Linked DNA regions of Stegostoma tigrinum. Each later gene encodes a partner of the first gene's protein in a complex. Links are inferred from orthologs where the notes say so. Each region holds a gene or a part of one and is shown on either strand. Other genes may lie near its edges. The genes, in order: acyl carrier protein, mitochondrial-like; LYR motif-containing protein 4.

Evidence for each region.
Region 2: the proteins of acyl carrier protein, mitochondrial-like (region 1) and LYR motif-containing protein 4 are in contact, whole or in part, in a crystal structure (PDB 6ODD), measured with the Homo sapiens proteins. The link is inferred for Stegostoma tigrinum from reciprocal best matches to the Homo sapiens genes NDUFAB1 and LYRM4. Residues at the interface, in NP_004994.1 of Homo sapiens: Lys92, Asp111, Ser112, Leu113, Asp114, Val116, Glu117, Met120, Glu123, Asp124, Glu129, Ile130, Asp132; in NP_065141.3 of Homo sapiens: Arg6, Leu10, Ser11, Tyr13, Arg14, Leu17, Arg18, Lys21, Arg37, Phe40, Arg41, Lys44.

Annotation. Positions count from the first base shown.
Region 1 is NC_081376.1:22,366,591-22,381,815, forward strand, and holds the start of acyl carrier protein, mitochondrial-like, read right to left. Parts: upstream 7,119-15,225; 5' UTR 7,104-7,118; coding exon 6,876-7,103; intron 1,625-6,875; coding exon 1,502-1,624; intron 221-1,501; coding exon 133-220; intron 1-132. UniProt on the Homo sapiens protein: Carrier of the growing fatty acid chain in fatty acid biosynthesis.
Region 2 is NC_081355.1:11,430,330-11,445,788, reverse strand, and holds the start of LYR motif-containing protein 4, read right to left. Parts: upstream 6,502-15,459; 5' UTR 6,312-6,501; coding exon 6,226-6,311; intron 1-6,225.

The DNA.
Region 1 (15,225 bases):
GCTACAACTCAAGTAACTTCAGGCAAAGGAGTCAAAAGATTCAGTTTAATTGACAAAAACCCTGAGGTGTTTGGATTAAAACACCAAGATATACTGAACACATTACAACCTACCACACACACAGACACTTACCAAACTCATCTTCCATGGCCATAATGATTTCTACTTGATCCAAACTGTCCAAACCCAAATCTTTCATAAAATGAGAGCTTAGTAGAAGCTTTGAGAAGAAAGGAAATATTGTAAATATAGGGGGTTTCAGAAATACAAGAGAAAATCCACAGGCAATCGAGACATTCAGCACAACCAACAACAGATTTAATCCTTTGAAAACAAAGAACAGACAACCTTGTACTTTCAGTATCCAAGAAAAACTGGGGTTTCCTGCCTCATAATGAGGCTCTGAAAAGCTTTATTTAAAAATGGAAAGAGGACAGGGAGTATGCATGTTACAACTGCCTCTTTGCTACATGGTGGATGGGTGCTGATTGAAGTCATTCTCACCAGCTGATTGACCACACAGCACACACACCAACAGATGTCTTAAGCCTCTAAAATACTTCTGTAATTTTTAAAGTTTGTTACTCGTTCTAAGGACCAGAAACTCAATAGATCAGCCACATATACTGTAGCTTCTAAGGAGCTGGCAGGAGGCTCATAATTCAGCAGCAACTAACTCAGCTCATGACTGCCCCACTACCCCTCCAAAGTACGCCCCATTAGTCAGGTCTTTAATGGAATATTTCCCACTTGCCTGGATGAACGTCAAGGGGACAGGGCTAGATTCTCTCCAGTTTAACATGATCATTGCCTGCTCTTTGATCGAGAACATTACCTACCAGCTCTCAGCCCAAGCCTGAACGTTATCCAGGTATTTCGGCATTCTTGGTCTTCAAGAAAACTTAAGGGTTCGTTGGAATATTTTGTAAACTAGCTGAGATTGGCTAAAAGGATTGTCAAAAAGACAAGAAGATATGAGATATGCCAGGAAGGTTTTGCATATCTCTATCTGTAAAAGCCATTGTGTTTTAGTATTTATAAAACTATGGGTTAGAGCAGCAAGAAAAGCTAAGCTGAAATTACTTCTGGTTACCCTGGAGACAAGTAACAAACTATAAGGATATTTATATATTGTTCCTCTTTGCCCTGAGACAAGATGATTGACATCTACAGCCAACTTTCAGACATACCATGTTAGCAAAACTGTGTACTATGAAGCATCTAAAGGTGGGTGCATGGAGGCTGCTTACACTGGCCTGTTGTTCAGGGCTACATGTTAATTTTTCATGCTCCTGCTAGTAGTGGCTTCTGTTCCAGTCCCTGCAAACTCAGTCATCACCTCACTCAGTTTATATTTTAAGCTCTTTACTGCTTATTTTCTTTTTTAAGAATTAAATAAAGAAATGTTGGCAACTCCCTTTCAAAGACATTACATTTTCTCAGAGTGATATCATTTGTATTATGAAAATTCAATAAAAGGTCAGTGACATTGTTTCCTTACCTTGTCAGGATTAATTTTATCATAGAGTTTTAACACATACAGCACTCGTTCCTGGATGCTGTCAAGTGAGAGGGGGGGCAGATCCCCATAATGACGCAACGATTGTAGAAACAGACTACAACTCTGCAAAGGGAGATGCAAGAAACAGGTTAATTTAAAATGCCAGTTGCAGAGCCTGTAGACTGTGTTTGCAAATAAAAAGTCCATTGTTTTGACATACAATAGCGTTACGCCTCGTTGGGGCAGCTCATTGGAACTCAAGCTGTTAAAGTTGTCATAAAAGTTGAAGATTTTATAAAATTACATAAAATTCCCCAAATTAGTTGACAGTATGCACAGACCAGGTTTCTGTATTTAGGAATTACTTTTTTTTTACAATTAGATGCCAACTATAGACAAACAATTATGAATCAACTTTATCACTCAGACCTTTGATTATGGGAGTCAGGATGTCATGTTAAGGTTGTACAGGACATTGATGAGGCCTCTTCTGGAGTAATGTGTCCAGGTCTGGTCACCGTTCTATAGGAAGGATATTATCAAGCTGGAGTGTGTTCAGAAAACATTTACCAGGATGTTGCCGAGAATAAAAGGTTTGAGTGATAGGGAGGGGCTGGGGCATTTTTTCCACTGGAGTGTAGGAGGTTGATGGGCGACCTTACAAAGATTTATAAAATACTGAAGGGTATAGGTAAGGAGAAAATGAGGTATTGTTATTTCATCTTGCACTGAGCTTTGCTGGAACATGGGCAAGCCTGAGACAGAGATGTTGCAAGGAAACAAGGTGGTGTGCTGAATTGTTGCAGAGATAGTAGGAATTGTCGATGCTGGAGAATCTGAGATAACACAGTGTAGAGCTGGATGAACACAGCAGGCCAAGCAGCATCAGAGGAGCAGGAAAGCTGACATTTCGGGTCAAGACCTTTCTTCAGGAATGGGGGAGGGGACGGGATTCTGAAATAAATGGTGGGGGGTGGGGGAGATGGACGATGGATAAAGGAGAAGATAGGTAGAGAGGAGATAGACAGGTCAAAGAGGCAGGGTTGGAGCCAGTGAAGATGAACGTAGGTGGGGAGTTAGGGAGGGGATAGGTCGGTCCAGGGAGGACGGACAGTTTAAGGAGATGGGATGAGGTTGGTGGGTAGGAGATTGGGGGGGGGGGTTTGGGGTGGGAGGAATGGTTAGAGAGGCAGGGACTAGCTGGGCTGGTTTTGGGATGCAGTCGGGGAAGGGGAGATTTTGAAGCTTGTGAAGTCCATATTGATACCCTTGGGCTGCAGGGTTCCCAAGTGAAAGACGAGATGCTGTTCCTGCAGCTTTCGGGTGGCGTCACTGTGGCAGTGCAGGAGGCCCAGGATGGACATGTTGTCCAAGGAGTGGGAGGGGTAGTTGAAATGGTTCACGACTGGCAGGTGCAGTTGTTTGTTTCGAACTGAGTGCTGGTGTTCCGCAAAGTGGTCCCCAAGCCTCTGCTTGGTTTCCCCGATGTAGAGAAGGACACAACCGGAACAGGGTAGGGGGTGAAGTGGATGAACGGTTTGAGATGCTCGTGGGAGCAGGAGGCGGCGCTGATACAGTCATCAATGTACCAGAGGAAGAGGTGGGGCATTGGGCCAGTGTAGCTTTGGAAGAGGGATTGTTCTATATATCCTACAAAGGCTTAGCCGAACTCGTCCTCACCCTCAACAACTTCTCTTTCAATTCCTCCCACTTCCTACAGACAAAGGGAGTGGCCATGAGTACCCACGCGGCCCAAGCTATGCCTGCCTCTTTGTAGGATACATGGAACAATCCCTCTTCCACACCTACACTGGTCCTATCCCCCATCTCTTCCTCCATTACACTGATGACTGTAATCGGCGCCGCCTCATACTCCCATGAGGAGCTCAAACAGTTCACCCACTTCACTAACACCTTCCATCCCAACCTTAAGTTCACCTGGACCGTCTCTGATACCTCTCTCTCCTTCCTGGATCTCTCTGTCTCCATCTCTGGCATCCACCTGGAAACCGATATCCATTTCAAACCTACCGACTCTGACAACTACCTAGAATACAGCTTCTCTCACGAACCTTCATGAAAAGAGGCCAATAGACCATAAGACATGGGAGTGGAAGTAAGGCCATTCGTCCCATCGAGTCCACTCCGCCATTTAATCATGACTGATGGGCATTTCAACTCCACTCACCCGCACTCTCCCCGTAACCCTTAATTCCTTGCGAGATCAAGAAGTTATCAATCTCTGCCTTGAAGACATTTAACGTCCCGGCCTCCACTGCACTCCGTGGCAATGAATTCTACAGGCCCACCACTCTCTGGCTGAAGAAATGTCTCCTCATCTCCGTTCTAAATTGACCCCCTCTAAATCAAAGGCTGTGTCCACAGATCCCCTATTCCCAATTACTTTTGCCTCCGCCGCATCTGCTCCCGAGATGAGGCATTCCACTCCTGGACATCCCAGATGCCCTCTTTTTTAAGGGCCGCAACTTCCCAACCACAGTGATCAAAAATGTCCTTGACTGTGTTTCCCCGCATTTTCCACAACTCATCCCTCACACCCCTATCTGCAATAATAACCATAACAGAACCCCCTCGTCCTCACGAACCATCCCACCAACCTCAGAATCCAAAGCATCATCCTCCATCTTTTCCACCATCTGCAATCTGACCCCACTACCAAAGACATTTTTCCCTCCCCACCCTTATCTGCTTTCAGGAGGGACCACTCTCTCTGTGACTCCCTTGTCTTCTCCACAGTCCCCTCCAGCCCCACCACCCCTCGCACTTTTCCCTGCAACCGAAGCATGTGCTACACCTGTCCCTACACCTCCCCAATCCCAGGCCCTGAGAAGACCTTCCACATCAAACAGATGTTCGCCTGCACATCTGCTAATGTGGTATACTGTATCTGCTGTTTCCTTTGTGGCCTCCTGTATCGGCACTGCCTCTTGCTCCCACGAGGAGCTCCAACAGTTCATCCACTTAACCAACACATTCCACCCCAAACTTAAGTTCACCTGCAACATCTGTAATACATCTCTCTCCTTTCTGGATCTGTCTCCATTTCTGAAACCACCCAGAAACTGATGTCTATTTCAAGCCCACTGACTCCCACAGCTACCTAGAATACACCTCTTCCCACCCACCTTCCTGCAAAAATGCCATTCCTTATTGCCAATTCCTTCGCCTCCGCCGCATCTGCTCCCAAGATGAGGCATCCCACTCCCGTACATCTCAGATGTCCTTGTCTTTCAAGGACCACCACAACTTCCCCCCCTCAGTGGTCGAGAACACCCTCGACCGTGTCTCCCGCAACTCATGCCGCACACCCCATCCCCTCAATAACAAATCAGAATCCCCTTCGTCCTCGTGTATCACCCCACCAACCTCTGGATCCAATGGATCATCCACCGACACTTCCGCCATCTGCATCCAACCCCACCACCAAAGACATTTTTCCCTCCCCACCCTTATCTGCTTTCAGGAGGGACCACTCGCTCCATGACTCCCTTGCCCACTCCACACTCCCCTTCAGCCCTACCACACCCGGCACTTTACCCCGCAACCGCAGGAACTGCTCCACCTGCCCCTACACCTCCTCCCTCATCCCCATCCAGGCCCCAAGAAGACTTTCCACATCAAGCAGATGTTCACCTGCACATCTGTTAATGTAGTATACTGCATCCGCTGTTCCCGTTATGGCATCCTCTACATCGGGGAAACCAAGTGGAGGCTTGTGGACTGCTTTGTAGAACACCTGCGCTCGGTTTGCACTAAACAACTGCACCTCCCAGTCATGAACCATTTCAACTCCCCCTCCCATTCTTCAGAGAACACGCCCATCCTGGGCCTACTGCAGTGTCACAATGGTGCTACTTGAAGGCTGCAGGAACAGCAATTCATATTCAGCTTGGCAACCCTGCTGCCCAATGGTCTCAATGTGGACTGCACAAGCTTCAAAATCTCCCCTCCCCCACCGCATCCCTTAACCAGTGCAGCTCGTCCCCACCTCCCTAACCTGTCCTTCCTCCCACCTCAAGCCCTATCCCCATCTCCTACCTACTAACCTCATCCCACCTCCTTGACCTGTCCGTCCTCCCTGGACTGACCTACCTCCTCCCTACCTCCCCACATACACTCACCTTTACTGGCTCCATCCCTGCCTCTTTGACCTGTCTGAGTGCTCTCGTCTATCTTCTCCTCTATCCACCTCCCCCTCCCTATTTATTTCAGAACTCCCTTCTCTTCCCCCATTTCTGAAGAAAGGTCTAGGTCCGAAACATCAGCCTTCCTGCTCCTCTGATGCTGCTTGGCCTACTGTGTTCATCCAGCTCTACACCTTGTTATCTCTCTTCTTACTAGCCAACATCAGTTCTGAGGAAGGGTTACTGCACCTAAAATGTTAACTGGTCTCTCTCCACAGATGCTGCCAGAACTGTTAAGCTTTACAGCAATTTCTGTTTTATTGTTTCTGACTTCCAACGTCCACATTTATTTCAGTTTCCAATCTATTTAATACCTCCCTAGTTAATTAGGCCAGGATACCAGGAGAACTGCCTGAATAGTGCCACAGAACTTTTGTTTTGACATCCACTTAGACAGGACCTCAGTTTATCACCTGAAAGTTGACATTTTTTGCCAATGCAGCACTCTCTGCACTACACTGGTTCAGAAATGATCTCTCAATCAACATTACTAACAATCAAATTATCCCATCATTTAACATTGTTGTGAAAAACTTATGCATAACTTAGCTGCCACTTTTCCACATTGCAAACTTCACTTCAAAAAAGATTTGGGGTATTAGGGCAGCAAAGTTAATTTCAGGTTGAAGATGAAAATGATCTTCAGAGGACTGTGAAACTTCAAATCAAGTATTTTCCAGACACAGATAAATGAATTTTTTGAAATTAAGGAATTCACAGATCTGGGGATCAACATGCAAAGTGTAGTCAATATAGACGATTAGTCGTGGTTTTAACAGAATAACCCAGCAGATTTAAGGGGTCGTATGGCCAACTCTGCTCCGACTTCTGTTCTTACAGAATATCCTGGTTATTAATAAATGTATTTATTTTAAATCTTGTTACCCAATTTGAAGATTTGACCCTGACAATTAGCAGTACAGAGAAGAACAAGTGCATTTCCCCCCCCGAGGCTCAAGCCAATTCTAAACTCCACTGGATTAGGGAGTGATAACATTTTATTCCACACTTTCCAGCTCGACTCAAGTTTTAATCGAATAATTAAGGATTTTTACTCCAACGTCTGACGCAGATGGCACTTGGAGTTATGCTACACCCGTTGCCTCAGCGTCCTTTCGGACTGAGAAGAGGAGCTCTGGGTCCGGCCTGATCACCAACCCCCAAATTACCTGAGCTCGGGGCGCCACATCTACAACCCGCCTGTTGCAGACGTACTGAGAGTAGTTGCTGCTGGATCCGGCGAGGGGCAGGGCCCCGACACTCGGGCTTGCCCTTGGCCGGCCCCAAGGTTGCGGCCACCGGCGGAGACATCCAGAGAGGACACGCAACGCCATCTTGGAAACGATTCTGTTTCCAGCGTGTAGCGCGGCGGCCGTGGCAAGGTCAACAACGCCCATGCGCGGCCCGGCCTGCCCCGCCCCCGAACTCCACACCTACCGCCGCTGGTGGCGCTGTCCGTGGAGAGTCTGCAGTCTGACGACTCGTAGCTGCTGTGGAACTTATCTACCTTTGTGGAGATAAGTGATACAACCAAGTTAAGTCAGTGTGGAGTTATGGGTCATAGTCCAGATTTCAGGGATTTGGATAAGAAACTTTGGATAAGGTTGATCAAAATAGATACTCCAGATTTTAATTTTCGTTCTGTCACTTAACTGACTGTTCGTATTGCTTGCAATATAGCGAGATCTGTAGGGTGGTACTCTGGCTTGTAATGAAAAGTCCTTCTTTAATAGTCAGGATAGGGGAGGTAGTGGTGTAGTCACTAGTCGAGTAACAAGGCTACTAATCTAAAAGCGCAGACCAATGTTCTGGAGGCAGGGGTTCAAGTTAATACCATCTTGAATTGAAGGCTAGCCTCAGTAATGTTGCTACGAAACTAAAATATTCTGGTTCGTGATTGTCCTTCAGAAGAGGAAATATGGCGTTCTTACCTAATCTGGCCTACACGTGACTCGAGAACCACTAATGCGGATTACTCTAAAGTACCCTCTGAATTGGCACAACATACGCTCACCTCAAGAGGAATTAAGGATGGACAACAAATACTGACTTTATGACATCTGCACCTGTGAGAAAATAAAGAAAAAATATGTTCTAACTTCAACATTCCTATTTGACCAAAAGTTTACAAGGTGCAATCCTGCCATGGGCCACGAGATGGCAGTGGATTGTAGCCCTCAGGGAAGTAGGCGCCATTGCTATCTTTACAAGGTGTTCAGTGCAGCATAAAGCATTTCCATCCAACATTTTATATGGGGTAAGTGCAGCAGGAAACTGCAGTGCACTACCATCTTTATAGGAGGTAATGTACAACAGAAAGCATGTACAGCTGTCATTTTATAGAGCATCCTGGGCTAGAAGCTGCATGAGAGGACCCTTCACCAACTAGCAATTGTCCAGGACTGTTCCATAATTTTCCTTTCTACCTGGCATCCCACGTCGAGCCTTCTGAGAATTATTTTGTCCTGAGTTACTTCTGTATTTGCATTAACGTGCCCCAGCCTCCAGTCCATTCCTAAATCACGTCCATAACCCCCCATGGTAAACAGCTTTTCACCCAGAATTGGTCACTGTCACCAACTCTTTGACCAATGGTAAGTTACCTTGACTGGAATCACCTAAGTGTAGGAAATGATAACTGTTTACTAATGAAGCTGTGAATTTTCTTATTTATACAACGTATCTTATCAATATAGTTTCAGAGCAGTGGTACCACAGCTTCTTAACATAGGGTCTCCATGCTTCTATACCAACACTCCCAACCCCAAAGAGAAGAAATCAGTAAGGAAATTGGTAGTGAATGTACTGGTCATACTGGAGCACTGTTCTGAGGTACACAAGACAAGTTGGACTGGTACACATCATTTGCAAGTTCTACTGGTTTGTCGGTGTGTCGCTGACCTAATTTCACAATCATGTCAGCGCAATAACCACCCTGTCCACCACCAAAAAATGTTCTTTATTTATTTCTTAAGAGTTGGTTACCTGCTTTGTACAACTGACCATAAACCACCCACAAAGTGGCAAGAAAGAATGCTATAATAAGATTTGATTACAAGGACTAATTTGATATGAAGACTTTTGAGAAATGACACGTAGTGAAAGTCATATGCTTGGGTAGATCAGAAAAATTTTAAATATGATTCTCAAAGACCTTGATCAATGAGTTTTCTTACGTTATGTACTAATTTACCGTGGACTAATTGAGAACATGATTGTTATGAATAGTAATTGATCATTGTTTTAAACATATAAAAGTAAGATTTTCTTCCCCAGGACAGCACAAGGCAAAGTAGATGGGCCTTGGCCTTTGTAAAATCTAGTAATTCCTAATACTGAGGAAAAGTTGGAGATGCACTCCTTTCATTGAATAGATATTGAGTAGATGTCTGGAGTTCAGCTTGCTGTTGTTACAACAACAGGGAGCACAGGAGTCTGCCTATGGAACAGCGAGCTTCTGTGAAGAGACTTAACCAGTTGTAGCAACAGCGCCTTATTACCCATGGCTCTTCAGTTCTCCCTGCAAGCATAACCAAGTGCCTGCGCCATCGTAACCAGGCACTGACTGCTGGTTCCTGCCTGGGTAAGGGAGGTATCTACCCCATCTGGGCCATTGACTGCACTCAGTTCACCCTGCGTAAGGCCTGGAGCTGTGCCAATGACCCCATGAAGCTTCAGGAACAGCACATCTTCAAAACCAGAACACGAAAAAGTTGAGAGAAGCAACCAATATTGGCCCAATTCCCAGACCCTTGTGTGGTGTAGCTTTCTCCTTGTAAATTAGATTACCTGTTTGCTGAAAACATGTTTAAGTTATTTTGGGCAGATGCATGAGTATGTGTTGCTGCCTTTTGATAATTTATTTTTGTTTTATTAACAGGACGTACTCGCACTTTTTAATATTCAGAGTCTGTATTGTTTCCTATGTTCTGAAAACAGTTTGTATAAAGCTCATGTAAGTCAGAATAACCAACGAGGGCCAAGTGTACAAAAAAACTAAATAAAAACAGTGCAACCCTTGTCTTGTGCTCTTGCAGTGTGACTTTTCTTTCCCCAGCTCCTGAACGAGGTGACATGCTCTGCACAATTTGACCTTCCTCTAACCTTAATCCAAGATAAACGGTAACAAAAATTAGACGTTTTTGTTTTAACATGACTTGGCCTCTGCAAAAAATTTGCAGGTGAGTCAGTCTAATTGGGTTTTGTTTCCAAATGGTCGGTACGGACATAGGGCGAATATGTAACTTGGGCAATTAAAATGTCACTAAAATGTTGTCCTTCTGCCAGCAGGGGGTGGTGTAGTACAGAACCGATGATGAAGTGTCAGACTAGTAAACAGATCTCACACAAAAACTGCAGAAAGGCAAATATTGAAAACATTGTATTTAAGAAACTTGTTATACGGACGGTTTGAAGTGCTGTGATTGCACACCACAATCCTGTGAATAACATATTTATATAAAAACATCACCTTTTGGCAGGCATTGACCTGTACACACAAACCTTTTAACTTGACGTATCAACTGTGCCTCATGTTTGCTGAGACAGAGTCATGGCTCCAAGTTCTAAAATTCCAATACAAAATCCAAGTGCACTGGTTTAGATGTAAACTGAGATCTTTGCCCTTTCAGCTGTAAAGCATCATTTCTAGAAAAACAAGGGGGCTGTTCTTTGTCTTCCTGGCCTGATATTTAACTATCAAACATCATATCCTTCATTAATCTCAACAGTGTGGTAGACTGCTGTTTTCTCCAGAACAGTGACTACACTAGTAGTACTTAACATCCTGAAGTGCTTTGCAGGTATTTCCGAGATTGTGAAAGACATTACCTTGATCAACTCTGTTCGAAGCATGCATGACCTGATTTGAATGGTCTAAGTATCACTTAATATACTTGGATCTCTGTGTTCATTGGGTAATGCTGAAGGGCATGCTATTATAACACAACAAATAATCCAGACAACATGATTGGAAAATAGCCATGGTAGTTTTTAGAATTTGAATTTAGCTTAAAAAGAAACTGAGTAAATGGTTGATATCAGTAAACATTTCTGAAACTTGTGTTACAATAAAATGTATATTAACTTCCAATAAATTACTTAAGAATCATAGAGTCATAGGGCACAGAAACAGACCCCTCAGTCCAACCAGTTCATGCTGAACATAATCCCAACTAAACTAGTCCCATTTGCTTGCTTCTGGCCGATATCCCTCCAAACCTTTGCCATTCATATATCCATCCAAATGTCTTTTAAACATTGTAATTGGACCTGCATCCACCACTTCCTCAGGAAGTTCATTCCAAATGCAAACGACCCTCTGTGTTTGAAATTTGCCTCTTGCCTTCTTTTGAAATCTCTTTCCTCTCATCTGCAAAAAGTGTGTGCCCTAGGCTTGAGGTTCCCCATCTTAGGGAAAGGACAATGACCATCAGCTCTATATCTGTCACTATTTTATAAACTTCAATTTGGTCACTTATCAAACTCCTACGCTCCAGTGAAAGATATTCCAGCCTCTACAGCCTTTCCTTATAACTCAAACCTTCCACACCCAGCAACATCCTGATAAATCTCTTCTGAACCCTCTCCAGCTTGATAATATCATTCCTATAACTGGGTGACTAAATGGGAGACAATATTCCAGAAGAGGCCTCAGCAATGTCTTGTACTAACCTCAAAATAACATCCCAACTCCTACACTCAAAGGCCAAGCGGCTTTGGGGAGGTGATAGTCTAGTTGTATTATTGTTTGACCATTAATCTAAAGACCCAGATAACGTTCTGGGGACCTGGATTCAAATCACATCATGGCAGATAGTAGAATTTGAATTTAATAAATGTCTGAAATTAAGAATCTAATGATTACCGTGAATCCATTGTCAATTGTCAGAAAAATCCATCTGGTTCACTAATGTCCCTTAGGGAAGGAAATTGCCATCCTTACCTGGCCTGGCCTACATGTTGACTCCAGACCCACAGCAATATGGTTGACTCTCATCTGCCTTCCGGGCAATTAGGAATGGACAATAATGCTGCCTATCCTGTAGCACACTCATCCCAAGAATGAGTTTTTTAAAAATCCTGACTATGTGTGATACGAACTTTAGAGAATTATGTACCTGCACCCCTACTTCCCCCCGTTCAACAATGCTACCCAAGAACCTACCATTAATTAAGGTCTAGCCTTGTTTGTTGCACCAAAAGCAGCACCTCACATTTATCTGGATTGAACTCCATCTGCCATTTTTCAGTCCAATGACCCATGTAATCAAGATCCTTTTGTAATCTTGGAAAACTTTCTTCACTGTTTACAATGTCACTAATTTTGATGTCATCCACAAACTTACCAACCATGCCTTCTACTTCCTCAGCCTAATCATTTATAAAAATGACAAACAAAAGAGAACCACAACCAATCCCTGTGGAACACTACTAGTCACAAACCTCCATTCGAAAAGCAATCCTCCATCATTATTCTCTGTCTCCTGCCGTTAAGCCAATTATGTATCCAATTGGCAAGGTCATCCTGAATCCCATGTGACCTAACTTCACTAATTAGTCTACCGTGTGGAAATTTGTCAAAGGCTTCACTAAATTCCAAAGAAACAATGTCTACTGCACTGCCATCATCAACCTTTTTGGTAACTTCCTCAAGAAAAATCAAATGTTTGAGAGACACGATTTTCCTCGCATAAAGCCATGCTGACTATCCCTAGTCAATTTTTGCCTCTCTAAATGTCATAAATCCTGTCTTTTATAATCACCTCCAACAATTTACCCATAACCGCAGTCAGACTCACAGGTCTGATCTGGTAGGATGTAATCCAAATACGAATATAAATCATACCCATGTGCCCTACCCATTTCACATATTGCAAAAACATTCTAATAACTCAGCGTTGGGCTCACTTGTTCAAGATTTCTGTATCCCTCTAATTGTGGGCTGTAATGCCTCTCAAATTTTAATCATTCCACTAGTAGCCAGAGTTTCTGTTGCTGAGGTACTAAGATCTAGAATTTCTCCTTACGAACCACACTTTTCTGCAGTAATACAATCCTTAAAGACATCTTCCTCACCAGCTTAAGTATTTAACATAGGTCAGTGTCAAATTTTGCAAAGTTGCTTGGTACCTTTGTCAGTAGCATTAAATCAATGTTCTTGTTATGATTCTAAACTTTAAAAAAAAGCCTTTTCTAATCTTAAGTATAGACTAAAATTCAAACAAGCTATGCTGTAAGCTTTGAATAGGTAGACAAGTGTAATTTGTAGCAAATCATCCCTTTGCCTAAGTCCTCATTTATATTTCATAGAATCAGAATCCTGGAGTGCGGAAACAGGCTATTCAACCCAACATGTCCATACCGCCCCTTTGAAGACCATCCCATCTAGACCTATTCCTCCATCCCTGCATTTCCCAGGTCTAATCCAGCTAACCTAAACACCCTGGGCACTATCGGCATTTTAGCATGGCCAATCCACTTAACCTGCACATCTTTGAACTGTGGGAAGAAACTGGATCACCCGGAGGAAACCCACACAGACATGGGGAGAATGTGCAAACTCCACAGACAGAGTCATCCGTGGCTGGAATTGAACCTGTGTCCCTAGCGCTGTGAGATCACAGTGCTAACCACTGAGCCACCATGCCACCCTAAACTGCACATCTTTGTATTGTAGGGAGAAAGCAGAGCACCCAGAGGAAACCCACACAGACACAGGGAGAATGTACAAACTCCACACAGGCAGTCACCCTTCAGTGGAATCGAACCCAGGTCCCTGGTGCTGTCAGGCAGCAGTGCTAACCACCATGCCTTAAATCCCAATAAATCAGTAATCTCAAAGAAGAAATCTTTAATACATGTGGGGCTTGTCCCTCGAAAGTGCAGCATTACAAGCACAAACTCATTATATTGCTGAAAACACCAACAGACTTATTTTATACATTGTATCCAGTGATGCAAGATAACAATTGTAAGATATGAAAACATGACAAACAGGAGTGAAAGAAATCAGAGGATGATTTAGTATGTATTCAGGTAATCTTAGTTACACAGTGAGCTTGATTTAAATTTTTTTTAAAAAGCATTTTCGAAACATAAGGACTGAAGCTGAATACAAAGCATTTGTTTTAGATAGTCATAGACGCGGTATTTCCAGAATTTAAGTTTTTAGTGTTTACAATTTACTTTTTGTTTCAAAGAATATTGTTATAATTCCTCTTATTATTCTTTGTTTGTAGTGCATTTACATTTTTCATTTTGTAATTCTTTCCAAGCTGGGTCTCATCTCCAGTCAGAATCTCATAAAAGACCAAATTTTGAATCTTTTATTTTTGCTTGAGGGAGTATTTAGGTTCAGAAACTAAGTTGCTGGAAAAGCTCAGCAGGTCTGGCAGCATCTGTGAAGGGAAAAAAACAGAATTAACGTTTCGGGTTCAGTGGTCCTTCCTCAGAACTTCTGAGGAAGGGTCACTGGACATAAAACGTTTAGTCTATTTTCCAGCAACTTTGTTTTTGTTCCTGAATCACAGCATCTGCAGTTCTTTCGGTTTTTATGGAGTATTTAGGTTCTTGGTTTCAAACCGCTTGTAAAAGTCAACAGTTCTTCAGGCCTCAAGTATCAGCATAGTTTTCTGAGCTGAGCTTTCTGAAATGGACTTGAACCAACAACCAACTTAAGTCTAACTGATTAAACCAGCAGCTGGGAACAGTTCCAGATTTTTCCTTTAACATTCTTCCAACAGTTCACTGCCTGTTCAAAAGCTGGTACCTCTCCACCCTCAAAGTATTAATTCAGGGGCCTGCAACCAGAATTGTCCAATCATACACCACTATAGATGTTATGACAATTCTCAATAAATGCAAACAGCTTGAAGATCCCAACCTATCCACAACGTATTTCCAATTTGTTGACAAGACAAACAATATCCTCCGTATCTAGTCTTTTAGGCTGGTGGGCCTGCAATCACTGCAGGTAAGTACTTGCTTATATTCTTGCATGCAATGTTTCTGTCTGTTCCTATATCCATATTGATTGTTCTATGATCACTTCATTTTGATCAAGTGTACTAGAGTTCTTGACGCTTTGACCATATGCTGTTCTACTAGTAAGTTGTGACTAGTGATAATTAATTTTCTAATATGAGAGGAAGCAAGGATGTTTTCTAGACACTCTACTCACATTTCTTGGTACATTTTAAATGATGTTCTTTTCATTGACATTGCAGCTACAAATCTTTGCCTAGATCAACAATATCTGTTGTAGACAGCTGCACAATCAAAGGTGACTGGCCACATGAATGAAGACAGTTTGTGAGCTGTAACACAAGAATTCCAAACACTTTGAGCAGGTAGGTACTGAAAAGCTCAAAACTCGGGTAGCTGTTTTGCTGACTACCATAGGAGGAACTGCTCCAGACTGCCAGATACTATGCAACATTGCAGCATTCAAAATAAGAACTCTGTACCATGGTTTATTATACAGTTTATGAAAGACATTACTTCTTATCCAAATTAGTG
Region 2 (15,459 bases), on another chromosome or scaffold:
TTTTCCCATATTTTATTCCATTTGCGAGATTTTTGCAGCCTAATTTAACCTATGTAAATCGTTTTGCAAGTCTATCTGGACTTGAAAACTGTCAGCCCATTGGTTTGTTTTGTCCTGCTTTCTTAGTGATTTTAATTTCTCTAAGTTCCTTGTTTCTTTCCACCTCCTGACTTACAGCAATTATGGGAACGTTTTAGGTATTCTCTATCTTGAAAATAAAAGCAAAATATTGGTTAATTTCATTTGCCATCTCCTTATCATTTGGTATAAACTTTCCGTTCTCACCCTCTGGACGGCGAACTTATTTTTCTTACTCTTTTCCTTTTTAAGTAACTGTAGAAATTTTAGGTATCCATTTTTACATTTTGTAGTTTGCTTCCTCTCATTCTTTGTTCACATTATTCTGTGCCTTTCTTCACATTCAGGCAAAATCATCTGATTTTTATTAGATTACCTTCTGAGAAGGGATTGGACATGCTGGTCCATTTTCATTGCAATTTTGAAGACTGAGGGGTGATTTGATTGAAGCTTAAGATCTTGAATAGTCCTGACAAGGTGGATGTAGAAAATACATCTTCACTTGTGGATCCCTTGCAAATCCAGTTATATTGCAGATCCACCTATCGAGTGGTGCCCTTACTCGAGATCTTGGCTTAATCCTGTCACATTACATAATAAAAAGGCAAACAGTTCAAGCTTTCTAGCTGACATGTCAGATAACCCTGTATATTGAGGATCCAATTGCTGTTGTCCTGCAGCTATGTCTCTGTAATGGTGATCAGATCATATTTTAGTTCAATACTTGTAATGAATTCACTATGTATACAGCCTTTAGTTTTATATTTTCGTAAATTTTTATCTTGATTGTTATCATATTCCATTTTTTTCCCCTCGTTTTCCATTCCTGCCATCATTGCACCCTCGTTTCTCATAAACTATTTTACTCTCTAACCTTCTATCTAGTCTTTAATATACGACATCTTTCCAATTTTGATCCCTTACTCCAAATGGGAAAGCAGAGTAAATGAAGGTGAAATGTCACTAAGTACATGAATGAAACTAATTCTACAATAGTGTTGAAGTTGCTTTGTGTTCTGGAAATCAGTCTATTCATATTGCAGGGAGCAGGTGCACAGCAATTGCTTTAAAGTTTGGCTAATGGGCTTTTTCCACATTTATCGTGAGAAGTACTTTGAGGGTTTTGAACCAAAGTGGAGTTATGCGAGAGGATAACACTTCAGTCAAAGGATTATGTATTCAAGTCCACAACTTAAGCACATAAGTTTAGTAGTGAGAGAATGGTGTACTGTTGGAGAGACCATATTTTGGATTTGGTTTTAAACTGACACCAGTGTTGCCTTTTCAAGATGGATAGAAAAGATCCCACAGCACAAGTCACAGCAAACTACCATTTAATTATCCACTGAGATGGGAAAGGACACAAGAGAAGAGAAAACAATAGTACTAACAAGTCATTAATGAACATAACCTTGTTCCTAGAATCTAACATATTGATGCAATTACAGCAAATCAGCAAACACCAAAGGCGTTATAGATTATAACTGCTTTTCAGCATCAGGGGTCAACTTCCACAATTAAGCAAGTTTAAAAACAGCCTTATTTATAAATGCTGTACTCCAAGATCAACCTGAAGTCAAGGGAATTAGTGTCCTTCTTGCACCTTGAGATGGTACAGCACTGCAGTGTTGCAGAACAATGATTACACATGAGCAGTACAATAGATTTCCTGGGAGATAAAAACTAACTTAATAAAAAGCCTTAAAATATACTGCAGTAGGATTGCACTGGGAAGAAGATTCAACCATCCAGATCACATTGTGACTGTAATACAAAGAACTTTCATAACTTACTTTGTGATAATGTATGTACAACACTTAATCATAACCAAATGAATCATTAAAGTGTAAGAACTGGAGGAAGCATTATTTCACTGAGCTGGATAACAGGCATTGAGGCCAAGTATGTTCAGCCTTTGATAAGGTTGATTGCAGAGTCAAGCAGGACAATATTCTTGTTTTGCATACTTACATGTTAGATTTTCTTGATTTTTGCAGACAGACACTAAATACCTTTGTTCTTCCACAGCCCCTTATCCCTCACTGATGTGGAAGTGCTGGTGTTGGACTGGGACTGACAAGGTCAAAAATCACAAGACAGCAGGTATAGGCAAATGAATGATCAAATGAAAAAGTAGAGCACAGGAACAGGCCCTTTGGCCTTTCAAGCTGGTGCTGACCATCATGCTGTAATTAATCTTAAAAAAAACCTGCCATTTTTCGATCTGTATCCCTCTATTCCTTCCCTATTCATGTACCCGTCTAAGTGCCTCTTAAATGTTTTCAATGTGCCCACTTCCGTCACCTCTTCTGGCAGTGCATTCCAGCTGCTATCATTCTCTGTGTGAAAAACGTCCCTCGCACATCTCCATTAAACTTAGGATTTAGGGTTAGTGAATCGGTGTTCCCTTTTTGGGCATTGAATTGAGTTCGCTCAAATAGGGTGTGCCTTGTGTAATAATGGCTCTTTCAGAGGTTAAATTTTCCTGGTGTGGAAGAAGTCACTTGGGGTAGTTTACAGAAGGTGTGCAACTTTTGGAATTGGCAGGCAAGTTGGAGTTGAAATTGCGTTCCCCATGAGGAAAGGGGAGGTAATTGCAGCAATAGCTCGATACTTACAATTGCCAGAAATGCAATCGGAAATTGTAAATGGCTAAAAATCAATCACAACTGATGCAGCCTGAATATGAAGATCGAAAACAGATGAAAAACAAATGAGAAGAAAGGGAGACTTTTTGAACTTCAGAAGTTGGAACTGAAAACTGAAAGCTAACTTAAAATGGTGGAGGCAGAGGTGAAAGGTAGTAGTGACGAGGACGAAGATGCAGAGCGTTGTAGTCAAAGCCTGGTAGGAATCTGTTTAAATATGTCTAAGCATTGTCCTTTTTGTTGAGCGTAGGCATAGAAGCCTTTTTCATTTCATCAGATCAGCCACGGTATTGCTGATTAACAGAAGCCTCAAGGGACCAAATAGACTGCTCCTGTGTCTAATTTGCAGGTACTGTACCAGTTCTGGTAGCCAAGACAAGGAGGGGAAGCAGTGTGAGGAGACCCCATGACAAGCAACAATATATCATTGACTCCATCTTGAGCTCATCCAAAGCTCCGAAACACTTACATGTCACTGAACTTGGTAAAATTCTTGGCTTCTTATCCAATATCATCACAATATTTTAAAATCTCAATGTATTCAAACGCCTTCAACGCACGTCTTATCTTAGTAATCTTCTCCAGTGCTACAACTAGGGTCTCTGCACTCTGATAATGCTCATGTATCTCAATTTTCATTACACCAGCATTAATGGCCAAGTCTTCAGCTAGCCTAGCTTTCAGCTTTCGAAATGCTTTTCTTGGGACATTGTTCTCTGCTCAGAACAGAAAAACAGGCCATTCTTCGCTGCTCCGACCATTAATAAGATTGTGGCTGATCCTCTACTTCAACTCTGTCTACCTGCACTATTCTTGTATCTCTCAAATCCCTTAATCCTCTAAAAACCTTTCAATATTTATTTTGAACCAGTGCTGTGCATATTCAGCCTCTAAAAGAAAGAATATTCCAAGAATTCAGAATCATTTGAGTAAAGAAATTTGTCATCTCCCTCCTAAATTTGTGACACCTTTTTTGAGGCTATGCTTCTTAGGTAAAGGCACATTGCTGTTAACTGACTTGTCTTGTTTTATTAGATGTTTGATATTACTTGGCTGCAAATAAACTAATGGGTCTTGATCATCAAGAACAAGATGCACTGCAGCAAGTTCCCAAGTTCCCTTGTCAGCACCTTCCAAAACTGACAATCTTTACCACCTAGGAGGACAAGGCTAGCATACTGAAGGACAGAATTAATCTCAATTTGGACCAACAAAGATTAATTAAGGATAGTCAACATGTGTCTGTCAAGGCGAGATTGTATTTGACAAGTCTGATTTGAGTTATTTGAAGTGGTTAATAAGTGTGGAGATGACAGTGGGCAGCTTGTGCACTTTAAATGTACTTCAGTAAATTTTTTGACAAGATGTCATACAGGATATGTCATACCAGTATCCTGGTCAAGAAGGTAAAAGCCCATACACTCCTGTACCACAGGGTTCAATATTGTTTATAGTGCTCATTAATGATCTAGGCATGAATGTAGGAGGTTTGATCAGTAAGTTTACAGATGACAGGAAAATTGGTGGTGTGGTAAATGAGCAGGAAAGCCTTAGACCACAGGATGATACAGTCAGGTTGGTCAGAAGGGAAGAACAGTGGCAAATGGAATTGAATCCAGAAAAGTGAGGTGATGCACTTTGGGAGCACAAACAAGGCAAGGGAGTACACAATGTACTTAGAAGTACAGAGGATCACACAGATTTTTGTTCATGTCACATATCCTTGAAGACAACAGTACAGGTAGATGAAATGGTTAGGAAATCATGGGATACTTGTCTTTATGTGTCAAGATGCTGAATACAAGAGCAGAAAAGTTTTGACGGAGCTGCAAAAGATGTTAGTTAAACCACAACTGGATTGTTGTGTGCAGTACTGGTCACAACACTGTCGGAAGGATGTGAATGCTCTAGAGAGGATTCACCAGGATATCGGCTGGGCTGGAGCGTCTCAACTATGATGAGAAACTAGATAGACTGGGGTTGTTTCCCTTAAAGGACAAAAGACAGGTAGGGGCTTAACTGATAAATACAAAATTATGAGGTATAGAAAGTTCGAAAGGAAGAAAATTCTCCTAGTAGAGGGTTCAGTAATTGAGCAGTTTAGATTTAAAAGACAGGAGGTTTAGAAGGAATTCAAGGAAGAACATTTTCACCAAATTAGTGATGGGTATCCAGAGCTCTGCCTGAATGAGTGGTAAAGGTGCGAACGATCACAACATTTAAGTAGTATTTCAATAAACACTTGCAAGGCGTAACATACAAGGCTATGGGCCAAGTGCTTAAAAAACAAGATGTGCCCAGGCTGCTGTGTTCATCCACCTCTACACCTTGTTATCTCAGACTGCAGAGTCGGCAGCTCCTACTATCTCTGAATGAGCAGATAAATGCTTGATGACCAGTGAGTGTGTGAAGGGCTGGAGGAAATATGTGTGTTGTAAAAGGACTGACTTTAATAATACATCTAAAAGTCCGGAGATTGTATCCTAAATAAAAACAGAAAGAACTGCAGATACTGTAAATCAGGGACAAAAACTGAAGTTGCTGGAAAAGCTCAGCAGGCCTGGCAGCATTTGTGAAGAAAATAAAAATCAGAGTTAACGTTTTTCATCAGGTGACCCCTTCCTCAGCTCTTGTTGTTGCAACTCTATCTTATTCAGCACAAAATCTTAATCAAGCTTTAGTCTGGCATTGGTGACCTACATTCCCATAACAATTAATTGATTGTAAAGCATTTTGATTTTTTTCCAACGATCATGAAAGACAATGTATAAACATATGACTTTCTTGACACTTCCACCTTCAACTTCTCAATCTTGGTTTGAAATCCCTTCATGGTCTCACCCAGTGTTTCTGAATTTTATCCAGGACCCAAAGCCAGAAACACACCTATCCCTGGTCAGGTCTGACATTTTGTGGATCTCCCACTGATCCCTTTTTTTCAAACCTTTCTTTAAAGCCGATCTCTCAGATTTCTGATGAAGGGTCTAGGCCCGAAACGTCAGCTTTCCTAAATAATAAAGTGTGAAGCTGGATGAACACAGCAGGCCAAGGAGCATCTCAGGAGCACAAAAGCTGACGTTTCGAGCCTAGACCCTTCATCAGAGAGCCTAGGTCTAGGCCCGAAACGTCAGCTTTTGTGCTCCTGAGATGCTGCTTGGCCTGCTGTGTTCATCCAGTTTCACACTTTGTTATCTTGGATTCCCCAGCACCTGCAGTTCCTATTATATCAAACTTAAATTCTGTTCGCCGCTTCTAATCTCGCTTTTGCCTGAGATTTTTTTTTCCCGTGTGTGTGTGTGTGTGCGCGCGCGCGCGCGAGCTTTTGATTGCGTTTTTGCCCGTTTTTCTCGCATTAAGAACGGCTACATAAATAAAATGTCAGTGGTTGAAATTAAATTGCGGCTTAAGTGGGATGGAGGAGTGTGACATGGGATTGATAAGCAAAGTACGTAGCAAATATCAACATTCCCTGGCGGAAAACAAAATTACTTCTTTTTACCTATAATTGTAACTGGTGAACTTCTTGCTTTCTTTCAGCATCAACCTGTATAAAGACAGGACCTGACTGCTTGTGGGCACCGCCATCTTCGTTCTTCGGTCTTTACCACGCAGGACCCCGGTGGCTGGGCGCGCGTGCCTGAAATGGAACGTTGTGCAGGCAACGGCTGTCCTGTGGAACCTTCGACCGTTCAGGATTCAAAACAAAACTGAATACGTCCGTTCTGCTTTTGCCTTGCAAAATCCTAAAAGTAGGATCCACTGTTCGCATTCTCTAACACCTTTTATTTTCATAAAACTGTTCTCTCCTCTCGACTGGCAAGACAGTGTCCTACTATTGTCAATTTGTGTTGTTGAGGTGGTGGGAGGGGAAAAAAGAGGTCAAGGAAGGGACGGTGTCACTGTTGTATCTTTGCAAAGAAGGTGAGTTGGTTCGTGAGAAGTTGTGCATGTTAAGAGCACAGGGATATAGAATATGCCCGTGGTGGTTCCTTTTTTTTTAAACAAGGTCATCGTTCCAAAAAGGAGTTCTCTTTTATAATCCTGAGACTAAAATAGAAGGGACGTGTCGGGGAACCACGTCCGGTGTCTCGAGGAATGCAATTCATTGCACAGTTACTTGCTGTTGGGCAGGGTTAATAATCGTTATCAGGTTTTGTTCTTCATGCACGCAACTTTTGAGCGCTCCTCCGATCTCTCATTTTTGGCTGTGACGCAGCCTGTACAAAAAGGACGCGAAACAATGCAGAAACGCCGTTGGTGCTGGAGATCTGAAACTAAAATAAAGTGGATGGCAATGAGCAACGTTTTCACACCGGGAGGCTCATTAGGGTCTGGAATACCTTTTATCTGAAAGAGTGGTAGAGACAGATTCCTCCACGAATTGGGATTTGCAGGATTATGGGGGTAGAGGAGGGTGTGTACGACAAAAGCGGGTAGAAAGATATGTAGAAATGATGTAGCTGGTATGTACTTAACAAAAGGTGACAATTCTGCTTTCATCACAGCACAAATACATTCACTCAACCAGAAATCTCAAGACTAAGGCTACGTCAGATTTTAGACTTTGTTGGATTTCTGGTCAGGTTCTTTGGACTGTGGGTGTTCAAGCCAATTGGATAATATGGAGTACACAAAGTGTGGAGCTGGATGAAGACAGCAGGCCAAGCAGCATCAGAGGATCAGGAAAGCTGACCCTTCTCGACCCGAAATGTCAGCTTTCCTGCTGTGTTCATCCAGCTCTACACCTTTTGTTATCTCGGATTCTCCAGCGTCAGCAATTCCTACTATCTCTGCATAATATGGAGTCAATGTTGTTTGAAATGTGGGAGATGTGTGATATAAACAGACCAGTTTCTCTGGTGTAAATTCTGTGTTACCTTGTTCTTAGTCACATGTATCTTGTACACAAATCAAAGCACTTATTCAAAATATTGCCATTTGTGCTTGAAAAGAGTTTTCCCTTAGAGCTTTCTTATGAGGTTTTGCTTGTCAATAGCTATTTGATCTATAAGTTAGTTAATATAAAATATATGCTGCCTTTTTAATCTCACACAGCATTGGTCACATCTACACAGTTACCACGGCTCTATTGAGATTTTTTTAATGGAGCAGGAATTCTGGTAGTATTGATAATAAGTGACTGCCACCAAGTGAGTTGAGAGGGAATTTGTTTTGGAGTAATAAAATTAGCAATACACTTAGTCTCTATACATTTTTGTACAGATCACTCCATGTCCCAATAGCCTACTGATCTTATCATAGGAGAAATCCATTTAAATCCTTCTGTTGTTTCCAAAGTATGATGAGAAACATAGAGGAACAGGAGGAGGTCATTTGTACCCTTCGAGCCTGTTCTGCTAATCATCACGTTCATGGCTGATTGTCCAACTCAAGAGCCTAATCCTGCTTTCACTCCAACTGCTATATCTGGCTGCCTTTTGAGTACATTCAACTACTTCCTGTGGTAATGAATTCCACAGGCTCATCACTTTTGGGTGAACAAGTATCTCCTCATCTCCATTCTCTGTCTATCCCAAATCCCTAGACTGTGACCCCTGTGCTGGACACGTCCATCAGGAACAGGCTCCCTGCATCTACCCTGTCCAGTCCCATTAAGATTTTAAAAGTCTCTATGACATCTCCTCTTCTCCCCTCTTTCCCCCCCCCCCCCAACTCGCTCATCTGAATTCCAGCGAAAATAATCCTAATCTAGTCAATCTCTCCACTTGTCAGTCCCACCATCCCTGGAATCAGCCTGGTAACCTTCACTGTAGTCCCTTGAGAGCAAGAGTGACTTCCTCAGAAAAGGAGACCAAAATTGCACACAATGTTCTAAGTGTGGTCCTGCCAAGGCCCTGTATAACTGCAACAACACTTCCCTGCTCCTACACTCAACCTCTCGCTATGAAAGCAAACATACCATTTGCCTGCTTTACTGCCTGTTGCACCTACATGCTTACCTGACTGGTGCACAAGAACATTCAGGTCCTATTGCACACTCCCCTCTCCCAATTTACAGCCATTCTGTAGATCTAAACAGTGTAATAAATTATTCATGTGCTGTTTTCACTCAAGTTGTAAATCTGGGACATTCTCATTTCCCAACTTTGATCAATTCATTGACAAAGACAGTTAGATTTAAATAATTACAAGTAGACATTCTCAAAATTGGCAGTCTACAAACCAGAATTGTCCAGAAACTGGGTATTTTTGAATGTGCATGGCATTTTTTTTTTGTTACTCAGTTGAAATTGACTTATCTGGATGATGCATAAATGTATTTGTTAGTTTGCTTGCTCACTAGTTTATTCTTATGTTCCAAGTGACCCAATCTGAATTGGCCTGAACATCCACTGTCCAAAGCAGCAGAAATCCAAATCCAAGATCCAGTACAACCTCAACGGAGTGTACTGTTGAAGGATCCAATAGATGCTTATTTCAACTGGTTATCATGTATAATTATTGAATTACAAACACGTAAGAGTTACAGATAAGTGTTACACTAATGTTATAGCTGAGCATCATACTTGTAGTAGCAATTCATACTTCAAGTGATCTACTTAAGGTGGAGTATGCAGTGTTTATACAATTAGGTCATATTCTATGATACAATGATGATATCACAAGCTCATCTTTTAAAAGTATACTGATGTACTGTGTCTCAAAATATATTCTGATTTTTCAGACTGAGAATAAGTAAGGAAATTATTATTAAGGAAATTATGGATTTCAGCAAGGCGTTCGATAAGGTTCCCCACAATAGGCTATTGTACAAAATGCGGAGGAATGGAATTGTGGGAGATATAGCAGTTTGGATTGGAAATTGGCTTGCCGAAAGAAGACTGAGGCTGGTAGTTGATGGGAAATGTTCATCCTGGAGACCAGTTACTAGTGGTGTACCGCAAGGGTCGGTGTTGGGTCCACTGCTGTTTGTCATTTTTATAAATACCTGGATGAGGGCGTAGAAGGATGGGTTAGTAAATTTGCAGACGACACTAAGGTCGGTGGAGTTGTGGATAGTGACAAAGGATGCTGTAGGTTGCAGAGAGACATAGATAAGCTGCAGAGCTGGGCTGAGAGGTGGCAAATGGAGTTTAATGCAGACAAGTGTGAGGTGATGCACTTTGGTAGGAGTAACCGGAAGGCAAAGTACAGGGCTAATGGTAAGATTCTTAGTAGTGTAGATGAGCAGAGAGATCTCGGTGTCTATGTACACAGATCCTTGAAAGTTGCCACCCAGGTTGACAGGGCTGTTAAGAAGGCATACAGTGTTTTAGCTTTTATTAATAGAGGGATCGAGTTCCGGAACCAAGAGGTTATGGTGAAGCTGTACAAAACTCTGGTGCGGCCACACTTGGAGTATTGTGTACAGTTCTGGTCACCGCATTATAAGAAGGATGTGGAAGCTTTGGAAAGGGTGCAGAGGAGATTTACTAGGATGTTGCCTGGTATGGAGGGAAAGTCTTACGAGGAAAGGCTGAGGGACTTGAGGCTGTTTTCATTAGAGAGAAGAAGGTTGAGAGGTGACTTAATTGAGACACATAAGATAATCAGTGGGTTAGATAGGGTGGATAGGGAAAGCCTTTTTCCTAGGATGGTGATGGCGAGCACGAGGGGGCATAGCTTTAAATTGAGGGGTGAAAGATATAGGACAGATGTCAGAGGTAGTTTCTTTACTCAGAAAGTAGTAAGGGAATGGAACGCTTTGCCTGCAACAGTAGTAGATTCGCCCACTTTAGGTACATTTAAGTCGTCATTGGATAAGCATATGGACGTACGTGCAATAGTGCAGGTTAGATGGGCTTTAGATCGGTATGACAGGTCGGCACAACATCGAGGGCCGAAGGGCCTGTACTGTGCTGTTATGTTCTATGTTCTATCTGTGGTATGTGCGAAATGATGAGTGACAAAAATGTTTGCTTGTGGTCTCTGGTTCTTCTGCTAATCATCTTACGTTTGTGTCCTTTATTTATTTTTTTGCAAACCATTCTGGACTGTGAACACTTCATCTAATTAACTTCTATTCTTTTTCTGCTCCTTGGTAAATAACATCTCTGCATGACTGAAGTCGCTAAACCCTGGGATGATTCTAGTAAATCATGTTTGTATCATTTCCAAAGCCCTGACGTTCTTCCTAAAGTGTGAACTCCAGAATCGAACAAGATATTATAGCTGATGTTTAACCAGTATGTTAAAGGGTTAGAATACCTCTCTGATGAAGAATGCCTCTCTGATGACGGGTCTAGGCCCGAAACGTCAGCTTTTGTGCTCCTGAGATGCTGCTTGGCCTGCTGTGTTCATCCAGCCTCACATTTTATTATCTTGGAATCTCCAGCATCTGCAGTTCCCATTATCTCTTAGAATACCTTGTTTGTTTTTGTGTACACTCCTCTGTTTTTAAAAAAAAACCAAGGATTCAACTAGTCCTGCATTTTTAAAGAATAAGCACACACATCACCAGGCATCTCTGTTCTTGTTTCACTTCCGCGCCCACCACCCCCCCCCCAAAAAAAACTGTTCAATTTAATTTATCTTTAGTGTACATTCATCTCCAGGTCTCTTTATTCCTGTCTCCTCCTCAAAATTGTAATACTTAGATCATGCTGCATCTACTTATTCTTCTTACTAAAATGTGTCAGTATGGGCTTGCACAGTTTAGGAGAGTGGGATGTCATAGATCCCTACATTGTAGAAACAGGCCACTTGGCCCAACAAGTTCACACCACCCCTCCGAAGAGCATTCCACTCAGACCCACTCCTGTATCACTGCATTTTCCCCATGTCAAAATCACCTTATCTAAATATTTGTGGGCACTATGGGCAATTTAACATGGCCAATCCACCTAACCTGCACATCTTTGGACTGTGGGAGGAAACCAGAGTGCCTGGAGGAAACCCACGCAGACATGGGGAGAATGTGCAAATTCCACGCAGACAGTCGTGTGAGGCTGGAATTGAACCCAGGTCCCTGGCACTGTGATGCAGCAGTGCTAACCACTGAGCCAGCGTGCCAACTTTTGTGCAATTGTTTTTAAAGCAGAAGATTTTTAAGCAGAAGATTTGCATTCGGTATCACTTTTGCTTTAAATTCTCAGATCTTTTGGGCTCATTGAGCTGATTTTGGGTGAATTGTGCCAAAATGCCTGGTGCTCACATATTTCTCATTTGAAATCCATTCATGATATTGCAACACACTTCCTGCAATAACCCAAAGCCTGTGTGGTTTACTTGGTATGTCTCCACACCCCTATGCCTTTCATGGTTGGTGATAGATGTTCAGATAACTCTGAATCCCCTTTGATTCCCTGTGCCTAATTACCTCTTGCCCATTTTCACAGACTGTCACTTAGTACCATTTTTTTCTAATGTGCAATCAGTTGACACTCTTACTTCTATTGTTCTTCCTACTCTAACCTATGGATACTACTACTGGTTTCAAAAATGTGGAAATTATTACATGAAAGGTCTTAGGAAAATTTCTACCGTTGAAGAATGAATGGATGAGGAAGAATGTTAGATTGCCCAAAATTCTTAGTTATTAATTTCATTCTCCTAAAACAAATGTACTCCTTGCAAATAAAGATAACAAAGTGTGAAGCTGGATGAACACAGCAGGCCAAGCAGCATCTCAGGAGCACAAAAGCTGACGTTTCGGGCCTAGACCCTTCATCAGAGAGGGGGATGGGGAGAGGGTTCTGGAATAAATAGGGAGAGGGGGGAGGCGGACCGAAGATGGAGAGAAAAGATGATAGGTAGAGAGAAGAGTATAGGTAGGGAGGGGATAGGTCAGTCCAGGGAAGACGGACAGGTCAAGGAGGTGGGATGAGGTTGTAGGTAGGAAATGGAGGTGTGGCTTGAGGTGGGAGGAAGGGATGGGTGAGAGGAAGAACAGGTTAGGGAAGCGGAGACAGGCTGTGCTGGTTTTGGGATGCGGTGGGGGGGAGGGGAAGAACTGGGCTGGTTTTGGGATGCAGTGGGGGAAGGGGAGATTTTGAAGCTTATGAAGTCCACATTGATACCATTGGGCTGCAGGGTTCCCAAGCGGAATATGAGTTGCTGTTCCTGCAACCTTCGAGTGGCATCATTGTGGCACTGCAGGAGGCCTATGATGGACATGTCGTCTGGGGAATGCGAGGGGGAGTTAAAATGGTTTGCAACTGGGTGGTGCAGTTGTTTATTGCGAACCGAGCGGAGGTGTTCTGCAAAGCGGTGCCCTAGCCTCCGCTTGGTTTCCCCAATGTAGAGAAAGCCGCACTGGGTACAATGCATACAGTATACCACATTGGGCAGATGTGCAGGTGAACGTCTGCTTAATATGGTAAGTCATCTTGGGGCCTGGGATGGGGGTGAGGGAAGAGGTGTGGGGACAAGTGTAGCACTTCCTGTGGTTGCAGGGGAAGATGCCGGGTGTGGTGGGGTTGGAGGGGAGTGTGGAGCAGACAAGGGAGTGACGGAGAGAGTGGCCTCTCTGGAAGGCAGACAAGGGTGGGGATGGAAAAATGTCTTTGGTGGTGGGGTCGGATTGTAGATGGCGGAAGTGTCGGAGGATGATGCGTTGTATCTGGAGGTTGGTGGGGTGTTATGTGAGAACGAGGGGGATCCTCTTGGGGCGGTTGTGGTGGGGGTGGAGTGTGAGGGATATGTTGCGGGAGACTCCGTCAAGGGCGTTCTCGACCACTGCGAGGGGAAAGCTGCGGTCCTTGAAGAACGTGGACATCTGGGATGTGTGGGAGTGGAATGCCTCATCGTGGGAGCAGAGGCGGAGGAATTGGGAATAGGGGATGGAATTTTTGCAGGAGGGTGTGTGGGAGGAGGTGTATTCTAGGTAGCTGTGGGAGTCGGTGGGCTTGAAATGGACATCAGTTACAAGCTGGTTGCCTGAGATGGAGACTGAGAGGTCCAGGAAGGTGAGGGATGCGTTGGCGATGGCCCAGGTGAACTTGAGGTTGGGGTGGAAGGTGTTGGTGAAGTGGATGAACTGTTCGAGCTCCTCTGGGGAGCAAGAGGTGGCACCGATACAGTCATCAATGTAATGGAGGAAGAGGTGGGGTTTGGGGCCTGTGTAGGTGCGGAAGAGGGACTGTTCCACGTAACCTACAAAGCAGCAGGCATAGCTTGGGCCCATGCGGATACCCCTTTGTCTGTAGGAAGTGGGAGGAATCGAAAGAGAAATTGTTGAGGGTGAAGATGAGCTCAGCTGGGCAGATGAGGGTGTCAGTGGAGCGGTATTGGTCGGGCCTGCGAGACAGGAAGAAGCGGAGGGCCTTGAGGCCATCTGCATGAGGAATACAGGTGTATAGGGACTGGACGTCCATGGTGAAAATGAGGTGTTGGGAGCCAGGGAATTGGAAGTTCTGGAGGAGGTGAAGTACTCCTTGCAAATGTTGTGATTTTTGGAGCTGATAGTTATCAGCATGTTTGTTGTCTTTCACTGCATACCTTGGGCTGTTTCTTCTTAAAATTAAGAGTGAAGCATAGAATAAGCCTGATTATATAGTGTAATTGTGAATATTGTAGGATCAATATGACTTGGCATGATGGTATAGATTAAAACTAAGCTGAAAACTGGGGGATATTGTGTCTATTGAAGGTAATTTGTAGCTGGTCTTTTACCGCTGTGTTCAAGGTAATGCATATTTCAGTAATTAATAATCATTTTAAATGCACATTACCCCAAGCATAGAAATTGCTGTACAGCATAACCTTGAGGTAACTAATTGAAGACTTTAAAAAACATTCTTGTTACATTTTCTTTGTCTATAATCAGTGAAACTGTTTTCCAAATCATGGAACTTTATTTACTTTGTCTTGTTACTTCAGCATGTATTAATAGAGAGAGTTCAACTTCTGGTTTCACACTGCATTGGAAGCATGTTAATTGCTTTCAGCACGAATTGTACCAAGTTGACTAGTTTTGACCAAGTCAGGCTTGAGACTGGAGGCTGCATGATTAGCAGAAGGCTGCAAATGAAGTTTCAGTGGCCCCAAAGATTGTAATATAAAGATGGCAAGGCTATCTGTATTCGTCATCAGTATTGTTTAAAGTTTAAGGCCAATTTTGTCATCTTTTGCTTTTAAGTCCTGAAGTCCAGAAGTTAATGTCTGTGACTCACTGCTACTCCATAGGGTGTGATATTGAAATCATTGAAGATGGAAATAAGTTAGAAGTCACTGAGTTGGTGTGAAAACTTTCCCATTTATTTCCCAATATTCTTCTCATTGCAGAATCAGCCTTGAAATTCACACTTGTTGAATGAAATGGGTTTTTGATTATGTACAAATTCATAATTGTTGAATAACTTCTTTGACCGTGAAAGCTTTATATTATGCTTGTGGAATAATTTCACCATTCATCTTAAAAATAGACTTTTGCACTATGCTTTTTGCAAATTTATTTATATTTCAGTTTTTTTGCTTAATTCCATAATTGTATACCTCAACCTTTATTAACTTATAAACAAAAATCATCCCATTGCAAATGCCTGCTCTGGCTACCCAAGACTGCATGTGGTGGTTATTTAAAGGGATGATTGACGCAGCCATGATTTTGTTTTGTCAACCTTAAACCAATTGGTGCTCTCTGATGAAGGGTCTAGGCCCGAAACGTCAGCTTTTGTGCTCCAGAGATGCTGCTTGGCCTGCTGTGTTCATCCAGCTTCACACTTTGTTATCTTGGTGCTCTCTACCATTTGCTTAAAAAAACTTTAGGTTTAATGTAATGTCCTGATAATAA